2 linked regions of the Callithrix jacchus genome follow. The main gene of each other region encodes a partner of the protein of the gene in region 2 in a complex. Links are inferred from orthologs where the notes say so. Each region holds a gene or a part of one and is shown on either strand. Other genes may lie near its edges.

Region 1 (4,281 bases), on a different chromosome or scaffold from region 2:
CATACCCAGGGCAGAAAATCTGGGAGTTAAGTGAGAATATAGGCAGGTGAATTCTACCACCCAGGGATGATGCGGCCTTTGGAGCTTTTCTCCCATGGTAAACAAGCAGCAGTTCCAGGAGCCAAGGATGATCTGCCAATGAGACGCCTCATCTTCTTTCTGTCCCCATGCCTTTGGACAATCGGGTGGACTTCAGCTTTTTCCAGTTAAAACACCCGCAGACTGCTGGTGGCGTGCATGCAGCTTTGCCTGAATTTCCAAGTGGGTTCTCTGTATATACCTTGTTGTACCACAATTATATGTATAAGCAGTTACACGTGCTTTGGGGAATGAGTCAGGGAATAAAACTCCCAAACAAAACACAAACATTTCTGGGTAGCAATTGATTCCTATCCCCAGACCAAAGCCAAAATGCAGACCCAGCAAGGCCAGATGCCCTTGCCATGGGAACCCAACCCTCTCCTCCAGGAAGAGTCAACACATTAAAAATAAATGGGGTTTTTATTGTGTGTCCACGAAAACAAAGTCATGGTGGCCTTTGGTTAATCCCCTCAAGATGACAACTAAAAGGAGGCATGCATGACAACAACAATAACCATGTTCTCTGATGGAGCGAGGCCTTGCCCTCCTGGACCCTAAGGGTTACAGGCAAGCAGGGCCAGGAGGCTAGAGAGGAAAGCACACCCAGGTCCCCCAGATCATGGAGGGCTTGAGTCTGCTGCCTCCCTGGTGGGACAAGGCAGGGGAGCAAGCACTACTCTGGGCTGGGCCAGCGCCCCCCAAGCGAGAACACACACAAAAGCCCCCACCCCCACCCCCACCCCCACCCTCACTGCTAAGGCCATCAGCCAGGACTTCCCCAGAAGAGCTGGCTCTGAAGCCCAGACCCTCAGGGCTCCCTCCAGAAGGGGTTGCCTTCCTCCGCCTGCATGAAGTAGTAAACAAAGAAGAGGAAGATCGCAAAGACCAGGAAAAGCAGCAGCTGGCCCCAGAGCGGGACCTGGCGATCATGGCCAAGCCCAGCCCCAGGAGCATGCTTTTCTGGCCGGATGGCTCGGCGGGTAAGCCATGAAGGGGAAGATGAAGATGAGGACACAGAAGAGGTGGAGGAGGAGGTAGGATAATAGGATAGGCCCAGGGAGCTCCTGGAGGCTGAAACAGGGCGGTAGTGCGCGATGCTCTGGTAGGCACTGTCCCGGCCGTACATGGGACGTTCCCTGAGGCAAAAGAGGGGAGCAGGTGGGCCAGGAGCCTGGGTGCAGAACCAGTCCCTGTTCCTGGGCCTGCCCTCTACGTACCTATCCTTGCACTCCTCTTCAGAAGACAAAAGATTGTCATCACGCACCTGCAGAAGAGAGTCAGGGTGAGTGGACCGACTGGCAGGGCCACCATGGCCCTGCCACATCCCTCAGTCCAAACTTCCCCAGCTGGTGCCCTCTGACCTTTGGTTAGAGGCCAGGGACCCACACCCTCCCGAATGGCTCTTGGTGTTCAGTCTTTTGTTTGTGGGGTCTTGTCACTTGTGCTCATGCCCTGCTATTCCCTTTTGCCCCCAGGAGTCTCAGGAAAAGCTTGAGCCTAGATTGCAGACCAGGGTGCTCTAGTCACAGTTCTGATGGCTCCCCAAAGTAGGGACCTGGCCAAACAGGCGTCTGCTGAGCCAGTCTCCCCAGAAGCACAGAAGCCACCATTTGTATCCAGTGGCCCCCTGGATTTATCCAAACACAGCCGCCATCCCCTAGATTGTACTCAAGTACAGGGCACCTGCCAGCCAGCTCACCTGGTGGTGGAAAGTGTCAGCATCTGGGAGTGAAGTCGCAGACTGGCGGAAGCCCCTGGACTGGCCCGCAGAGTCGGGCTCCCCATAAGTCCTGGTAGTTAAGTAGCTCTCTTCATAGTAGTCGTCATTGTAGCCTTGGGAAGGGGGGCAGCGGTAGCAGAGGGGGCATCGGTGTGCCCCACCTGGCCTGCTGGCCCTAATCTGAATCTCTTTCGGGACCTGTGACAGTTTCTCCCTCCTAAGGCTGCTGGAGTGGTTGGGGCTGAGGTCTCAGGTCCTCCCTGTGAGCGGGGTCCCTGACGCAGTCAGGTGAACGTGCCAGCGTGCCCACCCCACCCCTGCCTTACCCTTGCTCTGGTAGAGTAAGGCGTCCTCTTTCTTGGGAAGATCATACATATCTGAATCCACTGACGGCGAATTCAAGTCTGGATTGAAGGGAGGCGACAGAACTGTTTGCCCCCCAGGCTTCCCTCCCCTCTCCCCGGTGCCGCTCTCGACCGGCGCCCCTGCCACACCCTCGCGACCCCGATCTCCCCGCATCCCAGGCCCGGTCCCCACAAGCGAGGCTCTCACCAGAGAAGCGATAGGAGAAGGAGGCGGCGGACGAGCTGGGGGGCGAGAGCCGCCGCCTCTGGGTCTCGTACTCGAAGATCTTCTTCTCGTAAAGCTTACGAGTAGACCCTGGCCGGACACGAGGCGGTCAGGGCCACAAGCCGGGGAAGGCGCGCGGGTAGGGTGGCGGGGAGGGCGCGGGGCAGAGCGCGGGGAGGGGGCCCGGGGGCAGGTCCTGCCCGCCGCCGCGTACCGACAACTGGCCCGTGAGGTATGTTGTACTGGCGCAGCACGGCGGCCAGCTCGGTATCCGAAAGACCCGCGTAGTCGTCCATGGCGGGTGCGGGCGCGGGCGGAAGCCGGGCCCCTGCCAAAACCCGCCGAGCAGCGGCTGCCGAGGATCACGGCGGGGGCGGCACGAGCGCCTCGGGAGCGATCGCGCTCGCGTCACAGCCAAATCACTGTCTCGTCACGGCCTCGGGCTCCGCAGGCTGCGCGCGCTGTGCGGGGAGGGGCTTAACGGCGGGAGCAGCAGGCGCAGAACGGCCGGGCCTTGGGAGCTGGGAGGCTGGGGCAGTGAGTCCAAACGTCATAAACGCACGGATTGGCTAGCGGCGGACGGGGCGGGGCCCGCGCCGAGAGTCAGGACAGTGGGAATCAGTCTCGCGGTGGGAGTGGGCGGGGCCGCAAGCCCAACGTCACAAACACACGGATTGGCTAGCGATGGAGGGGGCGGGGCCCGCGCGGGAGCGGAGCAGAAGGTGTCGCGGTGGGAGCGAGCGGGGTCGCGAGTCCGTACGTCACTAACGCCCGGAGCTGTTGGGGGTGGGGCCCGCACGGGAGTCTGGGCGGTGCGGCTGGGAGCCTAGACGTCACCTTGAGGCGTGCGTGAGCCAGTCGGTAGAGAGGGGCGGGGCCTGTGTGTCTAACACCCGGCATCTGCCGGCCGGGAAGTGAGAGCGGCCTAAGTGGGCGCTAGCGGTGGCTCTGGTCCCTAAGTCACTTGGGCTCCCCACCGTCCCAGCACATCCCTTCTCTACGCCCTGGTCCCCTTTCCCGTGGCCCCAGGGCGTAGGATTCCCCGGCCGCATCCGGGTCGGCCGCCCCAGCAGCGGCGGGAAGGGTCTGAACCCTAAGGGAGCGCCGGCCCCGGGCTAGGCACTACTGAGGGAGCTTTGTGTGCGCATCACCTGGGAAGCGGCTGTGGGGCAAGGCCCGCGCCTACGCGGTCCTCGCAGACCCCCTGCCACGGGCCCACCTTCCCAGTCTGCAGGGCTGTCGCCCGTGCACATATGCTCGCTGCTTCCCACCGCCTCCCTCCTTCCTTTTCTCCTACCTCGCTCCACCCGGGAGGAAATGGGGCACTGGGCCAGGAGGCCGCCGGCACTCCAGGAGCAAGCAGCCTTCGAAGGGGCCCGGGCAAGCCAGCGAGCACGCCAGTGAGCGCGGACAGAGGGCGCTGTGCGATGTGTGCAGAGATGACGTGTGTCCAGCCTAACGCTTCATGTCGTTCATTCACCCGGGGCACTGGCGGGAGCTGAAGTGGGGCTTCCTCTTCTGTCGGAATGGCCCCTGAGCCCAGCATAGCCCGGCAGGGGGCAGACGTGGGTGTCGAGCTATGGAAGGGCTGCCAAGGCCTGCTCAGGAGCCTGGACTGTGGCTAGGATTCCCAGGACCTTGATCAGATAAGGGCTGCCCTACGGAGAATGGAGAAGAGGTGATATTCTTTTTTTTTTTTTTTTTTTTTTTTTTTGAGAGAGTCTCGCTCTGTCACCCAAGCTGGAGTGCAGAGCCGCAATCTTGAGTCTCTGTAGCCTCCACCTCCCAGGTTCAAGTGATTCTCCTGTCTCAGCCTCCCTAGTAGCTGGGAGTACAATCACATGCCACCACACCTGGCTACTTTTTGTACTTTTAGTAGAAATGGGGTTTCACCATGTTGGCCAGGCTGG
Region 2 (3,987 bases):
ACAAATAGAAAGGGCTAAAATGCACTGAGGTGTACTTCCTTCTCATGCTTCCAGCTGTAATGCCTGTGCTCTTTCTCCTCCCTAAGAGATCAGGGAAGATGGCAAGCCCCCTACCTACCCTTGCCAGAGGCCGGGAAAGCAGATATGATGACTGGTAGGTGAACTCGCACCCGCATCCGGTCCACCCTCTGTCAAGTACCTCTGACTCCCACTGACTTTTCCACCAGGTGCTGCCTAGCCCAGCTGTTGACTTAACTGACATGTGGAGCACAGTCCATCTGGCTCCCAGGAAAAGATCCACCCACACTCTCTCCCACATCACTTGGGGATTGAGACACTCCAAGTCACCTGCCTGAGATCTACATGGCTAGGGTGGCTGCCCTCTGGGAGTGGAAGGGAAGCTGCCGGTTTCGGTCTGTACTGATAAGGAGAGGGGGAGACGTGGTCAGTCCCTGGAGGAGAGGCAACTCCCAGCCCACTTGCTTTTCAATGCACAAAGCCCAGTCATGAAAGCCACTGACTTTATTGATCTAAAAAACTTTACAACGACAGTGACTGTTCTGCCAAAAAAGGAGCCAAATGGTATCAAACGGACTGAAAGTGAGGGTGGGGGTGAGGGATAGGGCCAGGAATCCATTCAGGAAAGCCAGTAACTGTCATCAGGGAACTGGCAAGGGAAAAAGGAAGAGGGAGGCATGCAAGAGCGAGAATCCAAAAAAGTTGAAATGGTTAGGGGAGGAAACTCCCAAAGACCCTGGAGTACATCGGAGGTGAGTACGACAATAGCAATCTTTTCCTCTGTAGCGGACAGGGGAGGAGTCCCTAATCGGCTGCAAACTCTGGATGAGGGCTGGGGATTGAGAGCTTCCCAGAGAGTATCACAAGAAGGCATCACACCACTCTCGAAGGCATCCAAAGCAGTCCCGGGACTGCTTGGCATTGGCACCACAAGTGTCCTTCAGCCATTCCCGGAAGAGGTCTTCATCTTTCTTTAGCACCAAAAACTGGCCAAGGACAACATAGGCCTGAGAGACAGAGAAAAGGAAGGGGCATACTGCTCAGTGTTCAGTGAGGGATAAGAGTAAATCGGTCATTCCCGTGCCATTCAGAGCACACAAGCCCAGGAAGCAGGGCGGGTTTTGCCCCCATCTCCTCTCTACCAGGTGCCCAGGCTCTGGCAGTCTCTTCAGATTATGCCCCACCGCCCACCCCACAGCAGATGGACTCACTTCCCTCCCACTCCCAGCCTGTGCCAGGTACACGCTGCCACCCCACACCTTGTCAAAGCCCCTTTCCTCCAGCTTCTTGCCCAGGACTTCACCAATCCCGGCCAGGCTCCCCACTGGCTTTTCCCCCATGGGCTCTGCCACGAAGTCTCGGTGCTTTTGGGAGGTTGTCATCTTGATCAGGCTTAATCTAGAAATCCCAAAAAAAGACACGTTAGGGTTGAAGACCTGGAACTCCTAAGGGCCCACTAGCAATCTCATAGTAAGAGGAAGCTAAGCCAGGCATTATGGTGGCTTGCTCGATATCCCTCATCAAAAAAGGAGAAAACTGAGGTCCAGGGAGCCTTCCCTACTATTCTGAAGAGAAGTTTCTTCCTGCAGGACCTGGATTTTGATCTTGCCCAGAGGAAAAACGATCCTGCCTAACAGGTGGCGCAAACGGGTAAGTGGAAAGATTCCCAGAGTCAGTAGCCAGGGCCGCCCAGAAGCTGTCACTCCTTCTGTGACCTTGGCTGAGCCAAGAAGGCACTGACCCTGTCTGGACCGGTCACTTGGCATGGAAAGTTAACCAAAGGGTCTCTCTACCCACAGAGCGAAGCGCAAATCGAGCGCTCCGCACACTCGCCTCCAGCCCGCGGGGTTCAAGCCGCGCCCCAGCTCCGCCCCCATCGCGCGGCGCCGCGGCCCGCCCCCTCCCGCGGGCCGGCTCCCACGCGCCGCGCCCCGCCCCCTCCCCGCAGCGCGGCTAAGCTCTCCCCAAGGGCCCACCCCAGCGCCTGCGGCCCCTCTCATCCCATTCTCCTCGCAACCCATCTGGCCTCTAGCCAGGGCCCTGCTCTGCAGCTGACGCTCACCGGCAGCTTCAGTTCCCGTAACGGTTCCTCCCGCCACCCGGCCGCTCCCGCCGATACCTCAAGCCACTAGAACTTTCTTCCACTTCCGCTTCCGGGTCGCCTCAAGAGCGTCCTTTAAAAAAAAAAAAAAAAAAAAACCCTCCACGTTGGGCACTTCTAGCCAGTTAGGGCTATAGAGTTGAGGCGTCCCGGACCTCGACGGCCTCTGTAGTAGGTCCTCCTTTCCGGTCCTTCGCGGGAAGTCCTGCTGCCTTGTAAGGTCCCGCTACTCGAGGAAGAAAGGCCTCCAGAGAAAGGATTTTCTTTCTCTGCTGCCCGGACCCGGAACTCAAGGACTTAGGCTTGACCGACTGGCGTGGGGAAGAGTTGGAAGAACGGACAAGGGAGGGGACGGGTGGCCGGGAGGCTTCCGAGACAGCGCCGGAAGTACAGTTTTTCGAAGAGATCCGACTCAAACTCACGTCACCCTCCTAGCAGTGGGACTGGAGGGAACTGAAAACATTGGAGACCTGGATTTAAGCTCACGCTACCGTCGCGGCCGTCAGCAAGTTCCTTTACTGTGTTTTCTTGGCTCAGCCTTCAAGTGAGTCGCGGACAATTCTCTCAGCGTCCGGCCTGGACAGCGGGGTTGCTCAGGCAGCGTTCCTGGGAGCCGAGGGCCACAGACTTAAGTGTGGGTCTTTTTCCGAGGGTCTTTTCTCCGGGATAGACGGGGAGGAGGAAGGAGGACGGCAACTAGATATGACATATCGATGTTTCCTTCGGAAACCGTCAGTCTGGCCCTCGTCTTCTAAGTAAGAAAGTCAAACATGCAAATGTCGCAGGCAAGCCTGCTCACCTCCACCTTTCGTTAACTAGTTCCTGGCTTGGACCGTCGCGGTGGCCACCTAATTTGTCTCCGGCTGTAGTGTGTTGCCAGACTGAACTTCTCTGTTGTGTGATTGTGCTAGACTTGGGGTGTACAAACGTGTTGAGAAAGATATGGTTTATCTCAGACTCCTTCCAGAGAGGTTGCCAGGGTGATTTCTCTGGAGCATGTGTATAGTTTTATGTTATACCAGTAGTTATGATTGCAGGAGTTACTTTTATATAACATGCACTGTGTTGTCCCATTCTGTAACAATGCTGAGTTAGCTGTTATTTTTTCTGGGACCTAGAGAAGTTGAATAGTTAGGAAATGAACCAAGGTAGAATTTGAATCCAGGCAGTTAAGACTTCAGAGCCCATATTCTTAACCAAGACACTGTGTCACTCCTCAGTAAAAAGCTCCACCCCATCTTCAGAATAGTCCTGGGTTCTGAGCCTGCCGTCCAAGGAACTCAGGAGGAGGAATTGACAGTCTCTGCATCTCTAAGTACCCTGGGACAACTTAAGCATGTCTCAGGCCACCAAGAGGAAGCATGTGGTGAAGGAGGTGCTGGGGGAGCACATGGTGCCCTCTGACCGGCAGCAGATTGTTCGGGTGAGTGGCTTTGGGCACAAGCTGCTCTGCTCCCCCCCAACCGCTGTAGGGCCCCTGGGGCAGGGGTAGGGTGCAGTGTGTCTGAGAGGGTGTTTGATCTGACTGATGAGGCTGATTCCTGGTCTCTCCTGAACCAGGTACTCAGGACTCCAGGGAACAATCTGCATGAGGTGGAGACAGCCCAAGGGCAGCGTTTCCTTGTGAGCATGCCCTCCAAATACCGCAAGAACATCTGGATCAAGAGAGGTAAGAGGATCACTCCTGTAATCCAAGCACTTTAAGAGGCTGAGGTGGGAGGATCGCTTGAGCTCAGGAGTTTGAGATCAGCCTGGGCAGCATAATGAGACCTTGTCTCTACAAAAAATTAAAAATTAGTTGGGCACGTGTCTGTGATCCCAGCTACCCAGGAGGCTGAGGCCTGAGAATCATTTGAGCCTGGGAGGTG

What was found.
Region 1: the proteins of BANF1 (region 2) and EMD are in contact, whole or in part, in a crystal structure (PDB 7NDY), measured with the Homo sapiens proteins. The link is inferred for Callithrix jacchus from reciprocal best matches to the Homo sapiens genes BANF1 and EMD. Residues at the interface, in NP_001137457.1 of Homo sapiens: Arg37, Phe39, Gln48, Val51, Leu52, Lys53, Asp55, Leu58, Glu61, Trp62, Asp65; in NP_000108.1 of Homo sapiens: Pro22, His23, Gly24, Pro25, Val27, Ser29, Thr30, Arg32, Leu33, Tyr34, Lys36, Lys37, Glu40.

The regions. Positions count from the first base shown.
Region 1 is NC_133524.1:150,171,613-150,175,893, reverse strand, and holds EMD (emerin), read right to left. Parts: upstream 2,801-4,281; 5' UTR 2,668-2,800; coding exon 2,586-2,667; intron 2,462-2,585; coding exon 2,354-2,461; intron 2,206-2,353; coding exon 2,128-2,205; intron 1,915-2,127; coding exon 1,781-1,914; intron 1,346-1,780; coding exon 1,299-1,345; intron 1,218-1,298; coding exon 890-1,217; 3' UTR 483-889; downstream 1-482. UniProt on the Homo sapiens protein: Stabilizes and promotes the formation of a nuclear actin cortical network. Stimulates actin polymerization in vitro by binding and stabilizing the pointed end of growing filaments. Inhibits beta-catenin activity by preventing its accumulation in the nucleus.
Region 2 is NC_133511.1:123,078,827-123,082,813, reverse strand, and holds BANF1 (barrier-to-autointegration factor), read right to left. Parts: upstream 2,586-3,987; 5' UTR 2,081-2,585; intron 1,888-2,080; exon of another isoform or gene 1,760-1,887; intron 1,417-1,759; 5' UTR 1,401-1,416; coding exon 1,278-1,400; intron 1,026-1,277; coding exon 879-1,025; 3' UTR 508-878; downstream 1-507. Other genes in the region: putative RNA-binding protein EIF1AD, read left to right, coding at 3,456-3,542, 3,680-3,788. UniProt on the Homo sapiens protein: Non-specific DNA-binding protein that plays key roles in mitotic nuclear reassembly, chromatin organization, DNA damage response, gene expression and intrinsic immunity against foreign DNA.